4 linked regions of the Astyanax mexicanus genome follow. The protein of the gene in region 4 binds, or shares a complex with, the protein of the main gene of each other region. Links are inferred from orthologs where the notes say so. Each region holds a gene or a part of one and is shown on either strand. Other genes may lie near its edges. The genes, in order: gas8, ccdc135, efcab2 and drc1.

Region 1 (6,903 bases), on a different chromosome or scaffold from region 4:
TCCTGCTCCTGGCGCAGAGCCAGCATTTTCTTTTCATATTTAGCCTCTATTTCTGCAAGAGAAAACAAAATAGCATAATTTACACTACTGGTCAAAAGTATGAGAACAGTTAGACCCTAAATGTTTTCAGTAGTCCAAGTGATCAAACCTCTAAAACTTAAGTGTCTTTTTTTAGTCATAATGAGTAATGAGCGATCTGAATGTAGAGTGTTGTGTAAATACTGTGGTAGTGAAACACTGTTGTTTGTTCCAACACTGTTTTTATACAGAGAAAGGGACTGTAAATAGTAAATTGTTTGCATTAAATTTGCATCAGGGTTAATTTACTTCCAATGCAACAGATCTGCTCTAAGTTGTTGACAGGTTTATTCACTTGATTAAAAAATCCTTTAATTAGTAAATGATTTGACCAGTAGTACATTATGTAAAAGAGAGATATAGCCTGTAACATTACAATATTTACTCTAATATAAAAGCAAATAAAAAAGGGTGAGATACATCACCTCGTACTTGTCGTTCAAAATCATTCCTGATCTTGGTAATTTCCTCATCATGTTTCTGGGAAAAGAAGGTATGATTAGTAACTGCATAGCATTAACTAAAAAAGAGTCCACATCTTATCAGCCTAAAGTCTATCAACACTGACTGTCATGTTAGCTGTAAGCTGAGCATTCACACACCAGTTTAAGACTCTTGATCAGATTTTCACTGGAAAGCTCCTGTTCCTTGATATCCACTTTTAGATTCCGAATGCCCTTCCGCAGATCATTCTCCAGGTCTGCATGTTCCTTCTGCAGCAGTTTGGTGGTGACCACTCCCTCTGTCTTGAGCTCTGCGATGCTGTTCTGCTGTTCATACAGCAAGTGTTTCACCTTCTGTTTGTACACCTGAATAACAGAACGAACACCGTTAGATCATTCATGATAGATCTAAACTTTTTCAGTGTTTCATGTGCCAGAGCTTCTCATTATCATTCTTGATACCTTGATCTCAACTTGATGGCGTTCCTCAGCCTCTTCCATTTCCCGATCCCTGTTCCTGAGATCTGCTTTCTTTTCCTCCAGCTGTCTTTTGGTGATCTCCCAGAAGGTGTGGATCTTATCTCGTTCCAGTTGGAAGTAGTTGCGCTCTTCCCTCTCCCTGTCCAGCTCTTCACGCAAGCGGACAATGTGGTCCTCCAACTAATGAAGAATGAAGATAATGACGTAGTTTTAGTTTTAATACTTGGCATCAGTGTGCTTCCTGCAAAGCCACATATATTCATTCTAAAAACAGGGTGTCTGGTAGGTCATAGAACATGAACAACCATAGTGCTAATAATGATGTTGATACAAAAAACTATTGTGAATGTAACGATATCAGAACAGCAAACACAGTCTTTATCAGCTCATTCAGATCTCACTAAACCAAAGAAACACAGAAATAGACCAGGAGAGAACTGGTGAATTAAGGAGAGTGCAAACAGTCACCAGTTTCGCTAACTCTGGTAAAAAGACTTTGCCTAAAATGCACATTTTAAAAGTACTTTTAGCATGCTCAGTGCAAATTCACATCCTCACCAGAACCTATGGACTGTCACTTTAAAGTCAATATACAATATATGGACAACTGCTTATTTTATTATTATAAATAGAGTTCATAGAGCTTTTGTTGGAGTAAATGTCTCGACTGTCCAGGGAAGGCTTTATTATAGATTTTGGATCATTGCTGTTGGGATTTTATTGCATTTAGCCACAATCGTGTTAGTGAGAACAGGATATTGGATGATCACCACCCAGAAGTGTCATATTACACAGTATACATGATTTGTTACCTTACTTGAGTAGAAATGTTGGTTATCTATACTTTACTGGAGTAATTATTTTAAGATGACTTGTAACTTCTACTCCTTCATTTTCACATAATTATCTGTACTTTCTACTCATCACAATTTCACACATTTATCTGTTTTTCTACTCCTCACATTTTCACACTACTATCTGTACTTTCTACTCCTCACATTTTCACACTACTATCTGTACTTTCTACTCCTCACATTTTCACACTACTATCTGTACTTTCTACTCCTTTCATTTAAAAAAATGTGCATTTAAATGCATTTTCCCCTAACATTACTCTTACTTAGATACTTTAAGCAGTTTTGAAACAAGTATTTTTACACTTTTACTTGATTAAAAATAAGTATTTTTAAACAGAAGTATTTTTAAACCCTTGTATCTATACTTATACTTGAATATTAAATGTGAATACTTTTCACACCTTTGTACAGTAACCCACCTCACCCCCATCTCAACAACTCACCACCCTAGAAGTGCTAAATGGAGAACCATCATTCCTAAAAACTCAGTTCCATTGCTCCACAGGGGGGGCAACATGCGTTTAGAATTTCTGTCTCATTGTTGTTGGAACCTTAAAAACAAACTATAAAGCTTTAGTAGCCTTTGAATCTGCTGGAAACCTGTTAGATAATTATCACTGAAGACACAAACAGTAATAATGACATTATAACTGGCTAAAATATTAGTTTACCTGCTCCTTCGACATTTCCTCTGTGGAAAGTCCATCCACCACTGTAGGGCTCTTCTTGCCCTTCGCAGTCTTCCCTCCTTTCTTTTTTGGAGGCTGAAATATGAACATTTGGAGAGGATAATGTTACAAATACCCATTCTCACTGCATTACCGCACATTAATGATGTACTGTTAGTCTATACAGCTTTAACTAACTCTCTGGTTAGATAGCTCCTCCACTAGCTATACCGATATATAACCTATATAACGTTAGCTAACTAACAAATTAACGCTGTTAAATCACACTTACCATGCTGTATGTGTGTAAAGTAGCTAGTACTGGTCAGTCAGATGAGGGCAGTGTGTATTCGGGTGTTTCTGCAGAGAAACTGTACAGATATTCTCGTGATTTAGCTTTAGATAGTTTAGCTACAGCTCTCCTGTGCTGATGGTCTGCAAACAACAAACCAGATCCATGGAAACCAGTTCAGATCTCGCGAGAATAGAAATGAGTCGCTGCAGCGTGGAGCTGCCCTGCAGACTCTCCACACTCACTCAGTAAATATTCCCAAGCAGAAAGTGTTTGTTGTTTTTTTAAGCAATGCGAGGAATCTTTAATCATTTATTCTTATTTATACTACGAAAAAAGGACGATATATATTATGAACATGTAATTATTATGTTTATTCTTTTTGCTTTAATAATAATAATTTAATATTTTTCTTCTGTAATAATTTTACCCCTATCCTTCTTCACTGTTATGTTAGTGTTATTTTTACTTACTCAGATTTTACATTTGGGGTTATGTTCTTTTTTTTGTTGTTCTAATTAATGATCTCTTACTTTGACTGCTTTTATTTAGTGAATTGTTTTATTTTAGCTTGTCCAACTTTTAAATAATTTTAATTCTTTAAAAATGAAATCTAATTAAATATTAATTAGGTTAGTTGATTTTTTAATGCTTTTACATTTTTATATATATATATATATATAAAATATAAATAAAATCAAGTTTTAATTAGGTTAAACTAACATAATAAAATACAAAACAAAACAATACAAAATATACATATATATTCAACAAAACAAAAGTTATAAAGATTCTTTAAAGCTCTCTTCTACTAAATGCAATTATTTTTTCTTAATGAATATAATTATAGTGATTTGACTTTATATTTACTTTGTAATAGATACCATTATTCCGAACTTTTATTTATTCAGACCTAAATAATTATTATTACTTACTGGAAATTTTTGGACAAATTAAAAATAGAAAAAAACATAAATCCTTCGATATTTTAAATTAATTTGAATCCCACTTTTTTCTGTTTATTTTGTTTGTCTATTTATGTTTTTGTTTTGATGTGCTTGAGATGTTGGTTGTAAAAATACTTAAAAAAAAGTTTTCTGGTTGTATTAACATGTGGGACTTTTATTTGTTTTCCGGTAGTGACAGTGACAGCGTTTCCGTACTGCTGTCCAATCAGGAGGCGTGTTGTTGGGTCGCTGGTGGTGCTGGTTATGGTGGGGTCTCAGTTGGGCGCAGCTGCTGCAGATCCGCTGGTTTTAGGGAGTTTGTGAAGATGTCGAGCCGCGCGCTGCGCAGACTGAAGGGGAAGCAGCGCGGCCAGGAGGACCTGGACCTCGCGGAGCTGCGGGTGGAGGAGGAGGAGGAGGCGGCGCGGGAGGGAGAGGAGTTAGAGGAGCAGGAGGAGGTTCTGCAGCCGGTCAGAGGAGCAGGCAGGAAAACCAAGAGGAGCAAATCTCAGAAGAACATTAGCAACATTTATGAACTGGTCAGAACTTTAATAACACTGAACAGCTAAAGACTGATACAGACTGACTGCTGATAACCAGAGTTCTTACTAATACAATAAAACTCAAATTCAGGATCTCTGTAATGCTAAACCTTCTTATTCCAGATATAAACAAACTTATGAAACTCCACACTGACCAGCCATACTCCCAGAATCTCCTATTATCATCATCAATATAACCAGTAATACTGTTACTGTTATTATTAGTACTATTTGTTTACTTTAATCACTTCCTGGCATCTACAATTACATAACATGTACTTTTTAAGTCCAATTAAAGATATAGCTATAGAATTATAAACATTACTATACACAAATAAGAGACACGGTTGGTCCAGAAGATGAATATGATTGTATAGTAAATTCTTTCTTTTTTTAAACTCAGATGTCTGAGACAATCAAAAATACACCATTATGTCAAAATACACCATCAGTATTCTATTCTATTAAAAAATCCAGGTACACATATTAATTAATTAAAATATATTAGAACTCTGGATTTTATGGACATATTGTACAAGTCCTACTGGAAAATAAAATTCACACCTCCATAAAAGTTGTCAGCAGAGGGAAGCATGAAGTGCTGTAAGATTTTGTGGAAAAACAAAACTGCACTGACTTTAGACTTGATATAACACACAGTGGATCAACACCAGCAGATGACATGTCTCTCCAAACCATCACTGATTGTGGAAATGTCACACTAGACCTCAAGCAGTTTGGACTGTGTGTGTCTCCACTCTTCCAGCAGACTCTGATCCCTTGATTTCCAAATGAAATGTACAATTTACTGATGATCAGTGATGGTTTGAAAAGACATGTCATCTGCTGGTGTTGGTCAACTGTGTTATATCAAGTTTAAAGTCAGGGCAGTGTTTTCCCAGAAAATCTTACAGCACTTCATGCTTCCCTCTGCTGACAACTTTAATGGAGATGAGGATTTCATTTTCCAGTAGGACTTGGCACACTGTCCACACTTCCAAAAGTACCAATTGGTCTTATATAATATTCTGATTTTGACACTGATTTTTGGGTTTTCATTGGCTGTAAGCCATAATCATCAACAAAAAGAAATAAACACTTAATAGATCACCCTGTGTGTAATACATCTATATGATATATCAGTTTCACATTTTGAATTGAATTACTGAAATAAAGTAACTTTTCACTGATATTCTAATTTTTTGAGATGCACTAGTATTTTTGTAACTGAAGCTGTAAAAGGTAATTGTATATATGAGCAAATGAGAATCAATGGCATGATATGATTCAGATTGTATAAGGCATATGCTATCCTGGCAGTATATATTTATAGATCATTAGATCAGATATTTTTGATAGTAAATATTTCATAATTGATTTTCAAAGTTAGCACCTCTATTAGGATAACTGCATTACAGATATCTTGATTTTCTATCTTTGCTAATAAACATTGAGTGACTGCCTCTATCAGTTTATATAATTTTCTTAGCAGGGTGGATGTTTATTTGTTTCTGTGCTGTTACAGATTGGTGACCCTGACAATGATACAGACAAAAGTCCCACTGATGAGGAGAACGTGTTGACAGGGAGAAGCCATGGAGTACAAAAGCAAGAGTGCCAACCTGATATGGAGACCACAAAGGTTTAAAACTACATTACCATTAATTAAAAACGGACAAATAACTGTTAAATTCTTCTCTAAAGAGACTCAAGTCAACCCTTTAACATGCGTGGCAAAGTTAAGGCTTGTGTTAATTGCATTTTTTTGTTCTGACCTGAGATGCTGGTGCTCTGTATGACATCTAGTGGCAAATTTGATCACAAACAGAACCATTTAAACATAGCATTCCTATTCTTATCTTTTCTTTTTATTTTGTAGTCTGACTCTAACGAGAAAGTAAAAAAGAAAAAGAAGAAGAAGAAAAAAAAGACTGCTCCTGGGGATGTGCAGGTATGACATGCACTGTATATATTACATATCATATAAACTTGTGTAAAACAGAACATTTTAACACTGGAGGTTTTGCTTGTGTTTCTGTTCTTCCTCTTCTCTTACTATCTTCTAAATCTTCATAGGAGGAGTCCACTGCAGGGGATGACATTGACGCTCTGCTGGAGACCATAGAAAAGACCAATGGCCTTTCACACCAGAGTGAGGACAGTGGAGTCTCAGGCCATAGGCCTGTACTTTATGTGGAGCACAGGTGAAGGCTGTTTGTAGTTCTGAATGTTTGAAGGATGGCATACGTTTTGTTTTACAGTTTCAGAAATTGCTGCTGTTAACTTTTAACTTTTAACTTAACTTTTGTCTATTAGGAACCTGAATCCTGAGAATGAACTAAAGCGATATTTTGGAGCTCGGGCTGTTTTGGGAGACCAAAGGTTGGTTTGGTTTCTATTTTTCGATGTTTTTTAAGCATGCACATACATGTACTGTAAGACCGTCACTTTTTATTGTGGCTTGTTTTTTGGTTAATTTGTATGTGTGTTTTTTCCTTTCAGGCCCAGGCAACGACAGAGGCAGTTTCACAGAAGTACATGGATGACCGCACCTAAAGACACTTGGCCTCGCTTTAGTAAACCAGGTATGCCTGAT
Region 2 (7,639 bases), on a different chromosome or scaffold from region 4:
GAAAGACACACAGTGAGTCATTTTTTTGTGAAATGTTGTCAACTGGGGTCCATTTGTCGTCATCATGTTTGCTGTTTGAGAACTATCCAAAAACAACAGACAAAAGGTTAATTGCTTCAGCAACTGGAGGGCAGCCATAAAATCTGATAGCTGGGCATTTACCCCTGTACCTGCCAGTCAAAAAAGCATTATTCAATGGACAGATGGGACAGTGTTTGAATTGTAAAGATGGTTTCTGGTCAAACTAAACCTAAACCTAAACTAAATGGGAGTTTTAATTGTAGAACACCTTCCACATTGCAGTTTACTTACCCAAAATATTTTGGGTAGGGACTGTTTTTGGTGATTTACCACCATACTAAATTTAATCTGGGCCTAAAAAACTGGTTCTCCATTTCCAGTGTGAGTTAGGTAGCACAAGGTTATTAAATATATCAGTGAAGGTTTTTTAAGAACCAGTGCCATGTTGATCCCTGCCAGAATTCTTACACTTTTAGGGATGTTTTGCGAGTGGGAAAGATGGTAAATCTGCCAGTCCCCAGTGGGATGCTATACATGTGCACTGACCTTTCCTAGGGTATTAGGGAAAGAATGTGGTGGTGTCATGGGAGTGAGTTAGGACCATCCATATGAAGGCCACCTGGATTGAGTTATCATAGCCCAAATGAGCTGGCAGCTTTCTTTTCTCACAAATATACATAAGTGTAAGAAAATAAATATTATTATATTGATATTAACATATCAAACCCTTAACTCTTAAAATACCTACATTTTAACCTATGTAAGATGTGCTATTCAATTCCTCACCTCATGTTATCAATCCAGCAGTCAACACCAATAGGCATGAACATGTTGAGGTCGATCCACAGGGGAAACCAGTCCTCAGATTTCTTGTAGCATAACCAGTGGACCAGTGAAGGCTTGTCAATCTTCGCTTCAAGGCGATTTCCCAAATTCCCAGGCACTAAATCATCAGGGTCAAGGAGTTCAGGAGAGTAATAGTTCAAATGAGACATTTTCATAGCCCATGAATTTTCACTACAGAACATAGTGGCTCCAGCAGTGGAACCAATCTATGTCCAGGACTACCACCAAACCAGTTCAAGCTATGCTGCCAAGCTATGTCCAGTAATGCCTCCAAACTATATCCAGCAATGCCAACAAATTATAACGAAAAATGCTGCCAAACCATGTCCAGCAAAACCTTCAAACTATGTCTGGTAATGGCACCAATGTCCAGCTAGTCCACCAAACTATGTTTGGCAATGCTTCCAAACTATGTCTGGTAAAGGCACTAATGTCCAGCAATGCCACCAACACCAAACTGTCTTACTCTAGTAGTGTCCCCAAGCTATGTACAGAAATGTCAGCAAACTGTGTCTGGCAATGCCACCAACTTTATCCGGCAACAGCAGCAATGTCCAGCAATGCCACCCTACTTACTCCAGCAATGTCACCAAACTATGCCCAGCAGTGTCATCAAACTATGTCCAGCAATAGCATTAAATCATAACAGGCAATGCCACCAATCTATTTCTAGTAATAACACCAAACCATATCCAGCAATGCCACCAATTTATCTACAAAAAACTGTGTCTGGCCATGCCACCACTGGCTATGCCATCAACCTATGTCCAACAATGCCACCAAACCACATCCTCTGATGTCACCAACTATATCCAGCAATGTCACCAAACTCTATACAGGTATGCCACCAAAAAATATGTACAAGGATGTCAGCAAACTGTGTCTGTCCATGCCACCAAAATCTATCCAGCAATGCCATCAAACTATGTCCAGCAATGTCACCCAACTATATTCAGCAATGCCACCAAACTATGTCTGGCTATTCCATCAAACATTTTCCAGCAATGCCATGTCTTGCTATGCATTCAAACTACATTCAGCAATGACACCAAACTATGTCTGGCTATGTCCAGCAATGTCAACCAACCATATCCAGCAATGCCACCAAATTATGTCTGGCTATGCCATCAAATTATGTCCAACATTGCAACCCAACTATATTCAGCAATTCCACCAACTATGTCTGGCTATTTAATCAAACTTTATTCAGCAATGCCAGCAAGCTATGTCTGGCTATTCCATCAAACTTTTTTCAGCAATGCCACCTAACCATGTCTTGCTATGCATTCAAACTACATTCAGCAATGTCACCCAACTCTATCAAGCAATGGTATTAAACTATATCCACTAATGTCAATAAACTATGTACAGGAATGTCACCAAACTGTGTCTGGCTATGCCATCAAAGCATTTCCAGCTATGGCATCAAACCCAAACATAAATGCTGTCACACTATGATGTTACTAAACTATATCTACTATGTTACCAAAGCGTTATCTTACCTATGATGAGTGGTGGAAGTGTGCTGTTACTTGGTACACGAGGTTTGGCTGTAGGGGGGAAGATCACGTTCAGAAGCCAGAAGGCTGAACACTGATGAAGGGCAATCAGAACGATGATCACGGAGCTCAGCGCACGCGAGCCCTGCATGATTTCCTCTCCGTGTGGCTGGCTCTCCGGTAACGGGCTGGGCTGACTTTCTGTCTGAGCCCGGAGCAGTGGAGGAGTTTTAATGCTGAGGGAGCGCCAGGGGGCGATGAGGTCAGCGCAGCAGGTAAATATGAGCCGGACAGGACACAACAAGAAACGCGCTTAAATACCACATATATATATATATATATATTATATTATATCTTTTCTCTCTTTCGTTTTTATAATTATTGCCCTGCAGGCTATGAACATAAATATAATAGCCAATGCAGTGATATTTTAATATTTACAATTGGTGTAGAATAACTAATATTATCATTATATTCGAATATAATATTCTAATATTATTGTAGGAAATCAAGAAGGAGCAGCTGCATCTTTTTACTTTCAGTGTTTCTTTTTTGTCCTTAGAACCCCCCCCCCCCCCCAAACACACACACACACACACACACACACACACACACACACACACACACACACACACACACACACACACTGTTATATAAACACCCCTGGAGTCCTAAACCAAACCTTATTTAACCACATGAACCAAAATGAACTTTTCTGACTGCTTTTAAAAAAAAAACCTTAACAGTAATGCATTCTCGTTGGGATCTGTCGCACAGAACCAGTGTCCTGGCTCTATTGATCGTACTACTGGGCAGTTAATCATTTACAGCTGGGATGAATGTTAGGTTCATTAATACTCCTGTAGTACTCTCACTCTGCTGAGAGATGGGTAATGCAGAGAATAGACTACCCACGTGCAATCTCCCCGTTATATTAGAAAATGACTGTAAACCGCTAGAGGGAGCCCGCGAGGGAGTTCAAAATGAATGGGTGCTAAATGGAGCTAAATGGCTAAGAACTCAAATTACAGTTTTTCTCTGTCACTTTGAAAAATTTTCTCAGATTTGATTGAATTTGGTCAAATTACACATTATTTTTTCACGTGTGCAGAACACAGATAACATTTCTTATTAAATTATACAAGCAGCAAATGCTTTAAAGTGCTATGGCAAATTTATTCTGTACAACTGGCACAGTATGACTGCCTAAGATAGATAAACGTGTATGAGATGAGAAATATGGGCCTTTTACTTAGAATTAGCCCAGTCTCACTGCAAGAGTATAAATCTAAATATCACTATAATTCATTCCAAGATGAAAATATATAGAAACCAATCCACTCTCCGTTTTCTTACAAAAGATTATCCTTGGATTGGAGCTTTGATGTAATATTCAGTTTCTTCATGGGCATTTATTTACAGAACAGCAAGCTTTATTATTCGACTTAATTATTATAAGCCGTGGCCACGCCTTAGGATCTCATTCCCATGCCTTACTAAGTCGTGGCCACACATTGTTTTATTTTAACATGATGTCACCTCCATACGAGAAGAGTGTCTCTTATAATCTATTTTTACACACACAAAATTAAACAGCAATCTTTATTCTGTTATTGTCTGACACGGTTCCCGCTCCTGATACATCCTTTGTATGTGTGTGTGTGTGTGTGTGTGTGGCCAGTCAGTCATGGATTACATTAGCATTGAGAAAATTCTTAAGGAGTAAACTGATACACTACTACATGACTAATAATCATTTGATTGTTTAAAAGGTTTGTCTTCGGTGCTGAAACATGTTATATTTTTCTGTGTTGTGGAAATTAGTATATTTTTCTGTGTTGTGGAAATTAGTATATTTTGGGTATGAAAATAATTAGACAATTATAAACCCTGCTCAGTTGCTTCATTCATTTTGGACTCATTATACGACATATCATTTTTTGATTACTAAAACACGTGTTACATGATAACCATAAATAATACCAGACTCCTAATAAGGAGAGATTTGAAAATATTTTATTAAGCATAAATATTTTTGAGTTAACATTTAGTATTTATTCTCATATATCGTTTTAGATTTTAGTTGTAATTATTTTCACATGTGCCAAAATGTTTGCACAGTAAACGTGAAATATGTGATTTTAAAAAATAATATTGGTTAAATATGTTTTAAAATCTAACGTACGTGAGCTCGTGAGTATCCACGAGCCAATCCAAGCACAGGAGTGAGCGCCGGAGGGGCGGGCTTTGGGAGAATGCGGCTCGCGGATTGGTTTAGGTGGTGAAGGGCCATGGGCGGGGATTTTGTCGCTTATGGAAACCGAGTATAAACAGTTCCAGCGTTACTGAGGAGTAAAAGGTAAGCGGTTCATACTAACGTAAATATCTCATATAGTAAACCAGAATAGTCTGTATTATATACAGCTTTACTATGTAGTGAAGATTGTAAAACAAGGGTTAGTGTGTGCACGTTTTCTAACTGTCTGTAATCTAAATATATTTAGCTGTGATATTCTGTTTTTTTTGGGTCTCACTCACATTTAACAAATAACGTTACAGCTCTGGAAAAAAAATAAGAGACCACTTCAGTTTCTGAATCAGTTTCTCTGATTTTGCATAGGTTTATGTTTGAGTAAAATGAACATTGTTGTTTTATTCTATAAACTACAGACAACATTTCTCCCAAATTCCAAATAAAAATATTGTCATTTAGACCATTTATTTGCTGAACTGTTTGGATACAAAAATCAAGCAGTTCAGCTTGGTTTGATGGTTTGTGATCATCCATCTTCCTCTTGAGTATATTTCTTAGGTTTTCAATGTGGTAAAATCAAAGAAACTGGTGGTCTTTTATTTTTTTCCAGAGCTGTATAAGTACTGATTTTTACCAGGGCACTTGTATTTATTTAAATTATCAAAACAGTAAAATCTATCTTTCCAAGAGCAGAGCTCTGGTTAAAAACAATATAAGATACATATAAGATACATACATACAGGTACATCTGAAAAAATATAATATTATTGAAAAATTACATTATTTCAGTAATTCAGTTAAAAATGTGACATATATCATAAAGATGCATTACACACAGAGTGATCTATTTTAGGAGTTTTTTTCTTTTGTTGTTGATGATTATGGCTTACAGCCAATGAAACCCCCTGGAAAATGAAATCCTGTGATCTTATTAATTTTACAATGTAAAAAAATATATATAAAAAGAAAGAAAAAAGTGTAATGAGAAGAGGTGTGTTCAAACTTTTGACTAGTACTGTATATAGCAGCAACACATTATCAAAAAGAAATTCAAAGTAAAGTCATTGACATCTATCACACTTGCCTCAGATAAGGTCAATGTTAATAATTCAATAAAAAGAAAGAGACTGGGTGAAACGGACGTCCATGAAAGAGTTCTAAGGCAAAAACCACTGCTGACCAACAAGAACACAAAGAACATTGCTTTGCTTCTTCAGGAGCTGGACAATTGCTATAATTGATGGAACCATGAATCCATGAACCATGATGCTCTCTACCAAAAACTCTAAAGGAGAATGCCTGGCCATCAGTTTGTGACCTTAAGCGTAGGCGTACTTGGGTTGTGCAGCAGGACAATTATCCAAGGCATATCAGTCTACATCTGAATGGCTTAAAAAAAAGTGATGTGGCTTGATTTTAAACAGGCTGTTTATGCTCAAATACCTTCCAGTATGGCTGAATTAAAATAATTCTGCAAAGAACAGTGGGTGAAAAAGATTCATTTATCGCAAATGCTTGATTGCAGTTGATGCCAAGGGTGGCACAGCCAAGTTATTAGATTTGGAGGCAAATACTTTTTCACATAGGGCCAAGTTGGTTTGGATAGATTTTTGCTTTTTATATTTATATATGTTATATTTGTTTTATATTAAAATGTGTTTGTTAATCTGAAAGCTAAACTAAATCTGTAGGGGGCAAATACTATTTCACAGCACCGTATATTCTTCAAAAGGTATGTTTTTCACACAGTTTGGTCTTGCTGTATTTGCACAGTTTTGCTCTTATCTAATGTTTTTCATGCTTGCCATCTGCCAGTTATGTTCAAGAGCTAAAGCAGGTGTGTTAGAAAACATGAAAGCCTGAAAACATGAATCGGTGGGATGGCAGGTCCCCTGGACTGCAGCATGTGCCTTGTTTTCACTCCTTGTAGATGGAGATGCTGCCGGAGGTCGAGCCTGAGCTGGAAGAAGCTGAGCTCCAGGAGGAGGAGGCAGAGCAGGAGGAGGAGGAGGGAGGAGAGGATGGAGGTCTGAGCGAGTTACGGGAACTGGAGGAGACGCTGGCCAAAGTGCAGATAGCCCCCTCAGCAGCCCAACTGTGAGGTTACTATAGTTCGTTGGCGCTTGGTAAACTCTGTGCTTGTGTTAAAGTGAGCCGGTATCATGGTTATGCCACCCCGACTGTTTGCATTACACAATCACTGACTGCAAACATGAAGATGTAATGTCTCATACACGCTGTGCTGAGGGGGAAAACACACTCAGGAAGACCACCCAAACAAAAATCAATAGGCTGTGTATTGAGTATGGGGTTACTAAAGGTCAACATGTGTGTTAAGATAGCAAACAGTGGCTTTAGCATGCTCTTAGCATGTTGTGGTCTTGAGAAAACCATAGGAAGTCCAGATTTCAAGCATGATGAAAACATGGCCTCACATCTGGTGGTCAAGTTAACAACACACCTAATGAGTGTTGCTTTTCTTTAGTAGTCTAATAATAAGTAATATATAGCTGAAAGTAAGATTCTGACAGAATTTTATGTGTTTCCTAATGAAAGAGAAGATCACTCAACCTTTTTACACAGTGATGCTTGCTGTATAAAATCTAGGTCACCAATAAAAAACCTTAAAGCAGAGTGATTCACAAAATCTAAAACAATCCAGAATAAACAACAGTGTTGCTTTATTAATCTTCTTATGCTAATTGGGAAACACATGTTGTTTTGATATAGGAAGCTGCATTTTTGCTTAAGTTTGCCTGTAAGCATGTTAACATGCTGCTTAAAAGTGCATTTTGTTCTATAGCCATATGCCGTAGTATATACTAGTGCATCTCAGAAATTAGAATATCATTGAAAAGTTACTTAATTTCAGTAATTCAGTTCAAAATGTAAAACCTTACTACATTATATAGATTTATTACACACAGAGTGATATATTTTAAGTTTTTTTTTTATTGTTGATGATTATGGCTTACAGCCAATAAAAACCCAAGAATATTATATAAGACCAATTGGTACT
Region 3 (7,558 bases), on a different chromosome or scaffold from region 4:
CCCACAACACCACCCTCAGCTCTGAGACTCGAAACACAGTCAGGAATTTCTAATTAATCTTCAGTAAACTTTACATATCTGATGATGTCACCGGCAGTGGGAGGAGCTAAAGTCTAAGTGCTGGATTTACCTTCCTGTGTTAAATATCTGCTGAGCTCCTCCGGATCCAGGTGTCCTTTCTTCTGCTGATCCAGAACCTGAAACACATTTATATTATTTATTATTATTTAATTTAACAACCAGATTCGCTCTATAAACACCTTTAGCACACAGTCCTGATCTCCCTCCTGATCTCCTGCTCTACAGGATTCAGACTGTGTGCTTTTGCACCGCTGAAGTTAAATTAATATCTGAACAAGATGAACGTAAGAGTTTCTGACCTCAAACGCCTGAAGCAGAAGATCCTCAGGAACGGGACGTAACCTGACAGAACAAATCAGAACCTCCAATCAGAACCTCCGATCAGAACCTCCAATCAGAACCTCCGATCAGAACCTCCAATCAGAACCTCCGATCAGAACCTCCAATCAGAACCTCCAATCAGAACCTCCAATCAGAACTTCCGATGAGAACCTCCGATCAGAACCTCCGATCAGAACCTCCGATCAGAACTTCCGATGAGAACCTCCGATCAGAATTTCTGATCAGAACCTCCAATCAGAACTGGAGTTTGAAATAATTCAGATTAATCAGTTCAGTGTAAACGCAGTGATCAAGAGTTACTTGTTCTCCATCAGGATTCGGGACATGGTCGGCAGGAACTTCTCAAAACGGATGAAGCCCGCTGGCTCCTCCTCCTCGATCTGTAACAACATTTCCAGCACTGCTCATTAAACCAGTCTATAAACGAGTATATAAACCAGTTTATAAACCTCTATATAACCCAGTCTATAACATATGAGCCAGTCTATAACATATAAATTAGCATATAAACCAGTCTATAAATCAGTATATAAACCAGTATAGAAATCAATCTAAACCACAGTATACAAACCAGTCTATAACATATAAACAAGTCTAAAAACCAGTATATAAACCAGTCTATAACCAAGTAAATAAATCAGTATACAAACCAGTCTATAAACCTCTATATAACCCAGTCTATAAACATATATATAACCCAGTCTATAAACCAGTATATAAACCTGTCTGTAACCTATAAACCAGTATATAACTTAGTATATAAACCAGTATAAAAGACACAGCCGCAGATTTAATATAATATGTCTGAAATATGTAAATGAGCTCTGACCTCAGCGATGACGTCATGCAGTTCAGCTTCGGTGGGAAATCGACCGAGAGAACGAATAATCGTCCCGATCTCCCTAAAAACAAACAAACAAACAAATCGGATCAGATTCATTACAGAACCCGATCAGAACTCAGAACTCTACATCACTATAATCTGCAGAATCAGAACCAACCTGACGTCCACAGTTTGATTCTGTTCATGATCAAAAACATCAAACGCGCTCCGGATCTTCTTCTGGACCTCCGACACACCTGAACACAATCAGAACCTCCTGATCAGAACCTTCAGAACCTCCTGAACTCTTAACTGGGACTAATGAGAGGGAGTCCATCTCTCCTGTACAGGACTTCCTGTACCGACTGTCGGTCAATTTATAATTAAAGTTTTAACAGCGTCTCCATCAGACCATCATCTCCGACCTTCTGCATCCATATTCAACCCGACGAGTCCTAAAAATCAGCAGCTCTTAGAGACGCTTAAACTCCTGAACTGAAGTCAGAAGATTACAGAGCTTTAACTGTGGAATAATCTGCATCTCCCTCCATCACTGTTTTAATACTAATCTAAAATCGTACCTGTACTCTCAGGACTTTCAGTGTGTTCAGTTCTGAGTGTCTGGGGTTAATCTGAATCTTGTTTCCTGATGCTACTTTTTTATTTATCTTATATCTTATTTGTTGTTTAGTTTTATATATTTAATTGTTCGTACTTCTGTATTGTACAGTACTTTGGTTGGTATTTGTGGTTTTTAAATTAGAAATACATTTGACTTGACTATTATATATTATATTTTATATATTTTCAAATGTACTAGCATTTTAGCAACTGTATGTGATACAGCTAGGTGGCAGCAAACACACGCACTTTAGAAATTTGGATAGAGTGCCAATTATACAGTATATTACATTTTTACAATTAAATATACAGGAGAATCGACACTGTATTGTAAATATAAAGGAAGTGCGTGTGTTTGCTGCCACCTAGCTGTATCATACACCGTTGCTGAAATGCTAGTAAATTTGTAAATATATAAAATATAATATATAATAGAGTTATAATACAGGATTTGTATAATATTAATGGGTGTGAATTTTCCCCATGATTCAAAGTGAACACCCCCGTTATTTAGATGTGTAAATCCTATAGATTTGGAGCTGTTGGTGTTTTTTTTTCTTATCTGGGAACATTAATAGGTGATTTTATGCACTAAAAGTGATTTAGAGGTGAATAAATGAGTGTGTACAGATGTAGAGAGGGTATAGAATTAGATGCATTTTATTCTAAATGGTAAAGTGCTTTCAGTTTTTTTATATTAATACTAAAAGTGCGTTGGGTAACTCTTTACTGTTACAGAGCAGTGTTATAGTGTTCCAGTGTTGCCAGATTATTGATCTTGTCGCTGGATTTAGAGAATGATTTATTTATTTTTATTTTTAAACGTAAGTAAATGAATCAGAGGAACGTGGATGTGTTTAAACAGCGCTGTTTCTCCTACTTTCTCTGCATCAGGTCACTGAAATAAAAACGCGTTAATATCTGGCAACCCAGCAGAGCCGCGCTGACAGTGACGCCGCGGTTCGAGATTAATCGGTAATTGGATTAATTGATTAATCGGTTTAAAGAGTTAATAAAGAGAACCCGATGTTTACCTGCAAGCGCGCGCTCCTCCGCCATTCCACCGCGGATCTGGTTGCTTAGATACGGACGCGCTGCTGGTAGCTGGGTTGCCAGATAGTGCAACCCCCCCAAACTCCGCCCACTAAACTACAATCAGCTCTAAATTCTGCACAACACAGAAAAGACTGAGTTTTATATAAAATCTGATTATAAATTAGATTATAGATTAAAGTAATAATGCAACTGTTCTAATATAAATCTTATATTTAAATTAAGCTTAATGAAATATGAAATGTACAGCCAAAACATTAAGACCACCTCCCCCCAATGCAGCTCAGATTACAGAACTGTGCAGGAGAAATCTCCAGATCTCCAGAAGATCAACACTGGAGCTTCATTACATTACTGTACTTAATTACATTACAGTACTTTATTACATTACTGTACTTAATTACATTACAGTACTTTATTACATGACATTACTTCATCACTGTTAAATATTCCTGAGCTGCTGCTGTTCTGGGATCAGTGGTGGGATCAGATGTTTCAGGATGTGGAAGCTAAAGTTCTTTAAGCTCCACATTTCAGTAAAAGTACAGAAGTATTTAACATTATTTGTATTTCAATACTGGAGTAGTTTACAGTAAAATGTACTGAAGTACTGAGAGTAAAGTACAGTACTGTGTTCTGTATTTATTACAGAAATCGATGTTTATTAAAGACGTTAATTAAAAACATTAAAAAATAAAACCCGGACACTGCAGACTATAAATATATACATTTATCACAAAATTACCATTTTCATATCCAAATAAAATATAAATAAAGGTATGTGAGGGTCCGCAGGTCTGGTGCATTGTGGGTAGTGTAGGCGTTTATTCCTCCAGCAGGATCTCCACCTCCTCCATCGGCGCTCGGAGCCGGAGCTCCTTCTCCACCAGCAGATCCAAAAACTCCTGAACCCGATCCGGAAACAACCGCACCGCGTCCATATACACACACTGCACAAACGCACACACATACACACACATTATATATATATACATATATATAAATAACACACACACACACACACACCATATATACACATATATATAAATAAAACACACACACAATACATATATATATATATATATATATATATATATATATATATATATATATATATATATATATACATATAAATAACACACACACACACACACACAATACATATATATAAATAACACATACAAACACACACCATATAAATATACACACACTATACGTATATATAGAGAGGGACTCACTTTAGCCCAGGGGACGTTCTGTAGAGCTTTATAGAAGATTCCTCTTCCTCTCTCTGTGTCCCCGTTACACACCTGCACACACCCACCATCATCACCATCATCACCATCATCACCATTATCACCATAATCACCATAATCACCATCACCACCATCACCATAATCACCATCGCCATCATCGCCATTATCGCCATAATCACCATTATCACTATCATCACTATCATCACTATCATCACCATAATCACCATCATTACCATCATTACCATCATTACCATCATCCCATTATCACCATCATCACCATCATCACTATCATCACCATAATCACCATTATTAGCATTATCACCATCATCACCATCATCACCATAATCACCATAATCACCATTATTAGCATTATCACCATCATCACCATTATCCCATTATCGCCATCATCGCCATCATCACCATTATCCCATTATCACCATCATCGCCATCATCACCATTATCCCATTATCACCATCATCACCATCATCACCATTATCCCATTATCACCATAATCACCATAATCACCATAATCACCATCATCCCATTATCACCATAATCACCATCATCCCATTATCACCATCATCACCATCATCACCATAATCACCATTATTAGCATTATCACCATCATCACCATCATCACCATTATCCCATTATCACCATCATCGCCATCATCACCATTATCCCATTATCACCATCATCGCCATTATCCCATTATCACCATAATCACCATCATCCCATTATCACCATAATCACCATAATCACCATAATCACCATCATCCCATTATCACCATCATCACCATCATCACCATAATCACCATTATTAGCATTATCACCATCATCACCATCATCACCATTATCCCATTATCACCATAATCACCATCATCCCATTATCACTATAATCACCATAATCACCATCATCCCATTATCACCATCATCACCATCATCACCATCATCCCATTATCACCATAATCACCATTATTAGCATTATCACCATAATCACCATTATTAGCATTATCACCATCATCACCATCATCCCATTATCACCACAATCACCACAATCACCATCATCCCATTATCACCATAATCACCATAATCACCATAATCACCATCATCCCATTATCACCATAATCACCATCACCACCATCACCATAATCACCATCGCCATCATCGCCATTATCGCCATAATCACTATCATCACTATCATCACCATAATCACCATCATTACCATTATCCCCATAATCACCATCATCCCATTATCACCATCATCACCATCATCACCATCATCCCATTATCACCATCATCCCATTATCACCATAATCACCATAATCAACATCACCATCACCACCATCATCACCATAGCCATCATCGCCATTATCACCATTATCACCATCATCACTATCATCACTATCATCACCATAATCACCATAATCACCATCGCCATTATCACTATCATCACTATCATCACCATAATCACCATCATTACCATTATCCCCATAATCGCCATAATCACCATCATCCCATTATCACCATCATCACCATCATCACCATCATCACTATCATCCCATTATCACCATAATCACCATAATCACCATCATCACCATTATTACCATCATCACCATCATCACCATCATCACCATAATCACCATAATCACCATTCATCACCATTATCACCATCATCACCATAATCACCAACATCTTCATCCCCGTCCCTGAAACCCATACACTTTAGGGTTAACAGACAAAAGAGGGAAAGATGTTTTACCATAAAGTTCATGTACATCCTCCACAGCAGGGGGCAGTGGGCTCCCTCCTCCGTCGCCACGGCAACCTCAAACAGTGAGCGGATACGGTTACTAAGGCCCGTCTCCGGGATCACTGGCAGAGCATCGGCTGGAAGACCCAACCTGAGAGAGAGACGGGAGGGGTTAGTGTGTATAGTGTGTGTGTGTGTGTGTAGAGTGTGTGTGTGTGTGTGTGTGTGTGTACAGTGTGTAGTGTGTGTGTGTTTGTGTAGTTCTGTTCTGACCTGATGACGGAGTCGAGGTGTTGTTTCCTCCGCTGCTCTGCGGTGATGGAGAACAGGTGTGGTATGATGGTCTGGTTGCCCCTGGCGACGGTGTGGAAGAACCTGCGGGCGCGGCCGGCGCTATGGTAACGGCTCTCGGTCAGCAGGTAGAAGTGCCACAGGGTGGCGCTGCAGGGCAGGAGGCGCAGGGCGTCGGTCAGCGCCATCCGGAGGCGGGACAGGGGGAAGGCGCTGGTGCTGGAGTGCAGCCGCAGCAGTGCCACATGCAGGACGCACACGGCCTCGCGCTCTCTGAGTGACGGGTCGGGTTCTGTGCCAGTGGCAGTGGCAGTGGCAGTGCCGGGTGTCAGCCGCTCTCTGGCTTCAGTGAAGACCGCATCAGCAGCGTCAATCCCCACCGTCAGGTACTGGAACAGTCCGAAACAGCCAATCAGAGCACTCCGTGGTGTCCCGCCCTCTGCAGCTGCTGATAGGGCGTTCTCGTACGCTTTCCGGGCCTTTAGAACCGACACCGGGCTCACCTGCCCTGAGAACCCGCTGTACCCGCCCCCCTCCGCCAGCCTGCTCAGAACATAGACAGCCCGAGAGCCAGTGGGCGGAGCCACGGAGGCTTTAGCTCCGCCCATGCACGCCTGCTCCACCTCTAACTGGGCGTACAAAAGGCAGAGTTCGCAGAGGGTGTGGTCCTGCAGTCCTGAAGCCCCTCCCACTGCGAGTGCCGTGTCGAACACTCTCCGCCCCTCCTCCACATTACCCACAATCCACTGCAGGTGAGCGTACTCCCGCCACAGGCTGAGGCTGCTGCGGTTCTCCGGCAGCTTCAGTAACCGTTTCCCCACCCGCTTCCCGCGCCGCACCGCAACCCGCAACCGCTTACTGCTGCTGCTGTACACACACCGCAACACCTGCAATACACACACACACACACACACTTATTATACACACATTACACACACCGCTTCCCTCGCCGCAACCCGCAACCGCTTACTGCTGCTGCTGTACACGCACCGCAATTATCGTTTACTACAGTTCAAATAATCTCACAGGTCACATGTTTCACGCTTGCGCTGTACTGGATAAACTGTTACTCAGTACTGAATTACCTGAGTACAGTATTTAATGTATATCAGTAATTGACTGACCTTCAGCTTCTCGTACTGCAGCCAGCAGAGCGACAGGACAGTTCTGTCCGGCGCCCTGACCAGTGGCAGGACCCGTTCCAGAACGTTCCCCAGAAACTCCTCCCCCTCCTTACATAGCCCCACATGCTTCCTGACATCACTCAGGTGTGTCATGTGACCCACAGCGCTGATCCCGGTCAGAGGGAGGTGGCAGGAGGTCAGAGGTCGCTCTGAG
Region 4 (7,922 bases):
CAAATTCAAACTTTTACTTAACATTTCCAAATAGTTTGTGCATTAGGACAAAATTTTATAATAAACATAGGGTTTAATGAATCAAACTTCCTTCTCTATAACAGTTGAAGCGTAATATAGTATACCTCGCTTTGAGTCTCTAGATTGAGTTTCATCATGTTGTACTCCTTTATATTTGCAACTCTTAGTCGATGCAGCAGAACCTCATTCTCCTCCTTCTGTTTAATCCTCTGCAGTAGGTGCTCCAGCTTCTCTCATACATAGAATCAGAGGGTAGACACGTATATTAGCACCAATAGCATTATTGAATCTCTGATGTATGCATTGTGTAGTAAAATAATGGCTGTTGAAGTCTTTTTGCCTTTTACCTCTCTGTCGCTCCGCTCTTTCCTCTGCTGCTCCCACTTTTTCAAGTTGCTTGTGAGCAGAGTCTTTCGTTCATCATCAAATGAATTCTGTAACATCACCAGGCAAAAAGATAAGTGAGTCCAAGAGTCCTGGATAACTACATATTTGGTGTAATGATATAATGTAGGGCATTATCTTCACAAATATAAGTATCAAAAGAACATTTTCTGCATTCTGACCACAAAAATAGCATAGTGTTGTATTTTCCATAACCTTTAAATCTATACTGTGTTGTGTGTTTTAATATAGAAAATATTGAAAGAATTAATATATCAAGTGATTCCTGTAGATTCCTGTGTTACTGTTGGATACCAAGCTACTAGATGTATGAACTATGCTGACTTATGAATATGCTTGTTGCTGAACTCCCAACAGCAGAAAGTATTACCACACCTCGATCAGATCCAGCTCTTGTCTATACAACTTCATCAGAGACGTCATCTGCTCTTGCATTTTCTCTCTCATGAGATCCACGTCTTCTGCCTGCTTTTTCAGCTCTTTCACATAACGGTCATCACTTGATTTTAGTTCCTTCACAAACACAAATGTATTTATGATATCTTTTGAATCTGTGATGTTATACGCCATGGTATAAAAACACAACATTTAGAAACAAAACATAACATTAAAACATGCTCTTGTCACATCTAGTCACATTTTGAGACACAATATTTTAGGTTGAGGATTTATGAATTTTGTGAACTATAACACTCTTTGTAGTTCTTGTAAAGTACCTACTTTGATTAATCACTGCTCTATTAAGTTATATCAGGTGAACTGCTGCTGCTGGTGAATTTTAAATCATAGCATTGAGAAGAAATCTGGAAGCAAACCAGTGTCCTTTTAATAAGCTCACAATTGTTAATGTAACACTGTGTTTTAAAAATGCATAAACACATTGTTGTGCAGAATAATGATTGTAAGAATTTTCTTAGGCACTTAATGGTATATGCCAAATGCATTATATATACGTATTTGCACATTTTAAAACTTAACTTCAGGACAAACTTAAAAAGAAAACAAACAAAAGTCTTTTACAAGAGCATTATTTTACTAATTCCAATGTAGCTAAGATTTTTTTCCTTCTCTTAATATTAGTCTAATTTCTGTCATTTCTGTATTACTCCCATTGTACTGTATAATCCAAAAAATGTTCTCAAAAACATGGTTATATCTATGTGTGTGTGCATTTGTTTTCTTACGTGCTGCAGTTCATTGATGAGTTTATTCTTGTCTTCAGTGATCAGCATGCAGAGCTGCTGCTGGCTTTTCAGAGCATCTCTCAGATCCTGAGGAATTTCCTTTGCTTTGGCCACAGGCCAATTTTGAGTGACCTCCTCGAACTTCTCAAGGCTGGATTTTGCCTCGTTCTCCAACTTTTCATTTCTGTGCAGTATTATTAACATAAGATGTGTTATCATGAGACACGCATTTATATGAGTATGTGGAATCATCTCTGGATGTGTGTTTGAGTGTTTACCTTAATCTACGTGCTTCCGCTAGCTGTGCTCTCCTCTTTGTCTCTCTGGCATCTGCTGCCACCAAGATGTTGGTCACTAACTCTGTGCCATCAGTTTGCAGTTTAAGCATACGCTGCAGAGATTTACAGATATGTAAATAAGCACAAAGGTTCTGTACACTTGATAAGAGATTCACATCTAGACAAGCCAGATAAGTAAAAAAAAAACAAGTGCTGTAAAGTTAAGTCAGAACTCTGCAACTGAACATTCAGCAACAAAAAAGAAGAAGAGAAAAAAACACCTTTTACGGGTCTCTTCCAACCAGTTTAACCATTCAAACACTTTAATTAAATATTTTACGTTTCATACTGCCATTTGGCGTTTACAAAAGGCCAAAAAGATTTAATTTAAATAGGTGCTTTTTGCATAAGGCTGAATATGGCTGTGTACTGTATAATGTTTTCTGCAACATGAAGGACACCTTGTGGTTTTTTGATGATGCTACATCGTAGTGTTCTTAAAAAAACGGAGAGATAACTTTGTGTGGGAGATATCTGCACGAATCAGCTAGGTTAACTGATGTAATAACAGATATAATCAGATAATCAGAAAAAAACCCTCCTGAGGGTTAATAAACCTCTTAGTCATCAGGTTGTTCTGATCTAATTACCTTCTCACTCTGATCCACTTGTTTCTGGCTGGTCCGGGGCTCCTCTGTGTTCTCCTCCTGCTCCTGAGCCTCTTCCCCGAGCTCCAGTCTGTCAGACACAGTTCAGAGAGGATCAGAGAGGAGATCTCTGGAGAAGACAGTTAGTTATGTTAAGGTTATTCAGTTTAAGAAGAGTCAGTGAAGGTCAGGCTGGACTCACCGGGTCCTGGCCTCGGTCCGCGCGGCTATCCGGAGGCGGCGCGCCGCTATCCGCTCCTCCGGACTGTCGGACTCCACAGCGGGGCTCAGCTCGCCCGGGCCCGCCCGTGACATCTCCCCTGTAACTCAGCGGAGCAGAAGAAAAGAGGAAATGAGGGAGAGGACAGGTGAGTTTCACAGAGTTGGGCTGAATTCACTGTTGTTACCCGCGTTGCTATGAAACAGTCAGAGCCCCCCTCTATCAAAACATTACTGAGGCCCGCTAGAGGGAGCCCGCGAGAGAGAACTCAGTGAAGGGGGGGCTGTGGGCTGTGACCAAACTGGCTCCCTACTCCCTTAAAAGTGTCGCACTACATAGGGGTACACAGGAGTGAATTCGGACACTCAGTTTCATTATCAGGCGCCAGCACCGGTAGCATTAACACACACAGGTGGGGGTTGAGCCATGTTTAAAACTCCATAAACTCACTGAACTGAATTAAGTTAAGTGAAGCTCTGAGCTGATCATGGAGTAATCTCTGCTATATTTACACTGTTTACAAACATTAATCCTCATTAATTAACTACATGGAGAGACACCTCAAATTAACAGCGCACACCGGCTCGCAGTGTTGCCAGATTGGGTGGTTTCATGCTAAATGTCGAGTGTAATGTCCGTATATGCACTCTCTAAAAGTGACAGTGTTCAATTTCTGTATGCCACACATTACATCGAGTGTGCTTTGACGGGTGAACAAAACTACCAAGTGTTAAGAGTTTGTAAATTTAACTCAGCAGTGTTATAGATAGATATCTAACCTTGCAGGAACAGAGCCTTTAGTCCTGCTGATGGATATTTGAATAAACAACAGTTTGTTATTGTTTGAGTATTTATTTCTTTTATTTCTTTCACGTTTATTTTTTATGTTCTGTAAATACTTTTCTTTGGTTCCTACGTATCATATAATCAGTGATGGTATAGTTACTTTGAAAAAGTAACCCGATTACTGATTACTCCTTTAAAAAGTAACTTAGTTACTTCATGGATTACTTGATTTTAAAAGTAACTAAGTTACTTTAGAAGTTACTTTATTAGTTACTTTCAGCAGCTGCAGACACCACCTCCTGCCGCCTTAACATAAAAATTATAACCAGTTTTGCCAATACTCCCTTTAATAGAAATGCATTTTTAACAGCAACAATGTATCTCTAGACATTTAAAGTTGAACTATTTCCTGAAAAAATAAGTTTTTTTTTATAAAAATAAAAAGACCATTTATCTTGAATTAACTTAATATATATATATATATATATATATATATATATATATATATATATATATATATATATATTTAATAAAATATGGTCTTTCTTGATTTAACTTTCTTGATTTAACTTAACATAAATACTTGCTTTATAAAAAAATATTAAATAAATGAAGTCTTTCTTGACCTGCAATATTTAACACGGTAAAACTGAACATTGAACCTGTTTCTCTGCAGGGCAGCAAGGAGTGGTTTTATAAAACAAAACCGTATATGATCTAGGCCACATATATGCGGACTGCGGTCCGGGTCTGGACCCAGACGTTGTACAATGCGGACCCAAACCGATAAACTACTGAGAAGGATTTAATTCTGACAGCGTTTATTTAAAGCGGTGGAACGTTTATTGTCTTATTATAGTCTTTTAGAACAACGTTTGTGGAATTACCTTTAATAACAAATAAACCATTATTTTCTGTACTTCTGTTTATTATTAGTTACATCCAAGTAAAGGTCACTTTACAAACTAAACATGTTACTCCACTTTACATTTACAGTTGTTAGAAAACAATATGCGTGCAATGTCTGAATTAAATACATATATGAGAAAAAAAACTGATGAGGTATCACCTAATGTTTAAAATAATATAATAGATTTTAGTTTAGTAGCTAATGAGCTGGATCTGGTGAAAACACACAATTTTAGTCCAGTGATCAGGGATAAGAAACTGCTTCAAACTACCAACATAAAGTATTGTACTGAAGTCTGGCTGTCCACTAAATCCAGTTTTTAGCTAAGTAGTTAAGCTAGCTAAAATAATTGTTCTTCATTAAAATTTACAGTAATCCTGCAATCCTAATCTACAAATCACAATGACTATCACAAGCTCACAGAGGGTATGATCTGTGGGTTTTGATTCGTTTATTTTTAACCATCTATCAGAAATAATCTCAACACAGTTTACATGGTTAGATCCGTTACTTTTCTTTTAGAAAAATAGCTGTATATCCAGATATGTTTTATCGTCAGCCCCGCTGCACCCCTTAAAAAGAAAACATTACAAATCCTCCACAGCAATCCTCCGCGCTTCGCAAAACCAGCGAGCTGATTGGCTGTTTCTCTTAAGAGGAGTGACTTTCTTTCTGAACCGGCGGCTCCGTGATTAGCGCTAAGAGATTTTCCATTTACACAGCATTCTGTCTACTCATTAAAAACACAGCTGAGCTGAGAGAAACGATTCGCTCCTGGCGACGCCATTGTTCTGCGGTATAATGTTTGGGGGAGGACAAATCCACCTGTTTCTGATATTGGGTGGGACATGTCCCCCGTTCCTACGCCTATGGTCTTTATGGTTTACGTGCTTTACAGCGCAGTAAATTTACTGACCAATCACGTGTGCTGTAAAAAACGCTCTCCTTTGCCAATCCTATGCTACGGTGGCCGAGAAAGCCCAGCGCAGTGCAAATTGAAAAGCGCTGCAAAAGCACAAAACACATCCATCAAAATTACAACACAGGCGCAGCAAATAGAAAAACGCGCTGCAAATAGAAAAACGCGCTGCAAAAAGAAAAACGCGCTGCAAATAGAACCACAACACAACGGAAGTGAGTCACAACACAACGGAATTTTCCCGGGGGACCTTAAAAGATGCTGTACCAGCTGTATACAAAGGACAATAAGTGGCAAACAAGCTTCTGAAAAGTAAGTTATGTTTATTAAAAGTTCTGCTTCACAAAACGCCTTGTTTGCCACTTATTGTCCTTTGTACACATAGTGAAGTCCGAGACATTACTGAAGACGCAGCTTAGCTGGTACAGTACCTGGTACAGGTCCCCCGGGAATATTCCCTTGTGTTGTGACTCACTTCCGTTGTGTTGTGGTTCTATTTGCAGCGCGTTTTTCTATTTGCAGCGCGTTTTTCTAGTTGCAGCGCGTTTTTCTAGTTGCAGCGCGTTTTTCTAGTTGCAGCGCGTTTTTCTAGTTGCTGCGCGTTTTTCTAGTTGCTGCGCCTGTGTTGTAATTTTGATGGATGTGTTTTGTGCTTTTGCAGCGCTTTTCCATTTGCACTGCGTTGGGCTTTCTCGGCCACCGTACCAATCAGATCTGTGCAGATATGAGCGCGCGGAGCCACACAGGCGAAGCAGGCGGTGAGAAGTGGGAGAATAAAGCGAGAAAAGATGAGAATACAGATGGTGCGCACCAGAAAAATACATTAAGATACTACCTTTATAAAACATATTAGCAGTAATGTAATAGAGCGGTGTTACTTGGAGGAATTAAAGAGAAACAACCGAGACAAGAGTCCAAAATATTCCACTTTACTCCACCTGATCAGAACTCCTCAGAAAGAAAAAAACTCCCTCGCTCGCAGGCGCGCTCTCTCTACTCCCAAAACAACCCTACCTCAAAACTACGGCAACGCCCAGGGTACAAAAAGCATTGGCAACTTCCCCCATCAGTTTTACCCACAACATAATTAAGTCTGATACAGTAATAATATTAAATAAAATAAAACTACTGTTTTTTTTTAAGCTGATATTTTGGCCAAGTTCAGCAAACATTTCTTCATATATTGTATGATTTGCCATTCACGTAATTATAATGACAGGCAGGCCTAAATCTAATATAAATACAATCAAATTGAATAAATATAGCATTTTTAAACAAAGTTAACATACAGATTCACATTCTCGATAAATTTAGGGTGTTTCCATTAATTTTATGATAGGGTGATAATGTAATTATTGTGACAGGTCTATTTAAAACAATACATATTGTTGAAATATACTAGTATGTGTAATTTGTTTTGTCTTTCAGTTGTTGATGACATAAAACACTGACAGAAGTACTAGGCTTCTTCAGTATACAGTATACAATACTAAATCATAACACAAGTTAAAAATGGCGACGGTCCGGACCTCAGCCTGGCGTAACTGGACCAAACTGAATCCTAATTAAATACCCCTGCTGTAGTAGATCAGTCCAGATCATGACAGTGCACTGATTTATGCTGAATTTTACTTCAGAAACATTTGCTAGATGTAAAGCATTACCCTGCTCATGTCAGACTGTGACTACTGTACAAAAAAACAACAACAATTTCAAAAGATGGAATGGACTTCAGCCATGTGTGTGTGTTTGCGTGTGTAATTTGGAAAATAAAAACCACTGGAGAGTGTCTTCTGTGTATTGCTAATTAAAAATTGCATATTAGGAAGTGCAGTATGGTTTTGCAAATGGAAAACAGAGTGGAGAATAGTCATTTTAGTACATTTTAGTTATTTTCTGTTTCTTTGCCAGGGTTTTTGTTCAATGTCTAACACTGACATCAAGTGCATGTAAGTGGAATAGCAGACCTGATACATTATCAGAATATTGTGCCTTGTGACCCTTACAAATATGAAAAATAATTACTTAAGGAAAATTACCATGCAATTAAAACGTGCTTGATCTAGAGGTGCAGCAAACGATTTTAATTATAGTGACATTGTTTATTTTATTTGCCATGATATTTGACCAAATTTTGCCTTGACAAGATGCAAGGTAAGTATGGAGACAATATGACAAATATTAGGTGAGTTAAATATTATTCATTACTGAACATTTAGTACGTGTCTTCAGTCACTTGAAAATAAAACAGTGTGAAGGTTGTGATTTCACTGGGATGTCTTTATGGGGTGAGTTTTCCCAGATGTGCACATGAAATTTTCACACACTTTTAAATAAATTATTTTGATATCCCGAGAGCTGTGAATTCTTAGACATGGTTTAATAAATTGCTTGATATTTTTATGAATATAGCTATATTCAGTATACATACATATTATAGTAATAATATTTTATAATATTATATAATCTTCATCATCATTTATTATTATTAGATTATTATTATTAGTAGTAGTAGGAGTAGAAGTAGTAGGAGTAATATATAAGGCTATAAA

The links.
Region 1: drc1 (region 4) and gas8 share a complex: the UniProt entries of both Homo sapiens proteins name them as parts of the nexin-dynein regulatory complex. The link is inferred for Astyanax mexicanus from reciprocal best matches to the Homo sapiens genes DRC1 and DRC4.
Region 2: drc1 (region 4) and ccdc135 share a complex: the UniProt entries of both Homo sapiens proteins name them as parts of the nexin-dynein regulatory complex. The link is inferred for Astyanax mexicanus from reciprocal best matches to the Homo sapiens genes DRC1 and DRC7.
Region 3: drc1 (region 4) and efcab2 share a complex: the UniProt entries of both Homo sapiens proteins name them as parts of the nexin-dynein regulatory complex. The link is inferred for Astyanax mexicanus from reciprocal best matches to the Homo sapiens genes DRC1 and DRC8.

Annotation. Positions count from the first base shown.
Region 1 is NC_064416.1:13,274,931-13,281,833, reverse strand, and holds the start of gas8 (dynein regulatory complex subunit 4), read right to left. Parts: upstream 3,011-6,903; 5' UTR 2,822-3,010; coding exon 2,819-2,821; intron 2,623-2,818; coding exon 2,530-2,622; intron 1,182-2,529; coding exon 984-1,181; intron 888-983; coding exon 681-887; intron 559-680; coding exon 504-558; intron 53-503; coding exon 1-52. Other genes in the region: tcf25 (transcription factor 25), read left to right, coding at 4,092-4,304, 5,833-5,949, 6,187-6,258, 6,384-6,511, 6,624-6,689, 6,810-6,892. UniProt on the Homo sapiens protein: Component of the nexin-dynein regulatory complex (N-DRC), a key regulator of ciliary/flagellar motility which maintains the alignment and integrity of the distal axoneme and regulates microtubule sliding in motile axonemes.
Region 2 is NC_064417.1:7,192,598-7,200,236, reverse strand, and holds the start of ccdc135 (dynein regulatory complex subunit 7), read left to right. Parts: upstream 1-4,618; 5' UTR 4,619-4,725; intron 4,726-6,550; coding exon 6,551-6,717; intron 6,718-7,639. Other genes in the region: lcat (phosphatidylcholine-sterol acyltransferase), read right to left, coding at 808-964, 2,370-2,517. UniProt on the Homo sapiens protein: Component of the nexin-dynein regulatory complex (N-DRC) a key regulator of ciliary/flagellar motility which maintains the alignment and integrity of the distal axoneme and regulates microtubule sliding in motile axonemes.
Region 3 is NC_064421.1:67,546-75,103, reverse strand, and holds the start of efcab2 (dynein regulatory complex protein 8), read right to left. Parts: upstream 3,004-7,558; 5' UTR 2,927-3,003; coding exon 2,902-2,926; intron 1,504-2,901; coding exon 1,425-1,503; intron 1,326-1,424; coding exon 1,253-1,325; intron 804-1,252; coding exon 724-803; intron 424-723; coding exon 381-423; intron 198-380; coding exon 131-197; intron 1-130. UniProt on the Homo sapiens protein: Component of the nexin-dynein regulatory complex (N-DRC), a key regulator of ciliary/flagellar motility which maintains the alignment and integrity of the distal axoneme and regulates microtubule sliding in motile axonemes.
Region 4 is NC_064408.1:51,791,846-51,799,767, forward strand, and holds the start of drc1 (dynein regulatory complex protein 1), read right to left. Parts: upstream 3,001-7,922; 5' UTR 2,851-3,000; coding exon 2,738-2,850; intron 2,627-2,737; coding exon 2,539-2,626; intron 2,002-2,538; coding exon 1,889-2,001; intron 1,795-1,888; coding exon 1,611-1,794; intron 940-1,610; coding exon 802-939; intron 456-801; coding exon 369-455; intron 249-368; coding exon 126-248; intron 1-125. UniProt on the Homo sapiens protein: Component of the nexin-dynein regulatory complex (N-DRC) a key regulator of ciliary/flagellar motility which maintains the alignment and integrity of the distal axoneme and regulates microtubule sliding in motile axonemes.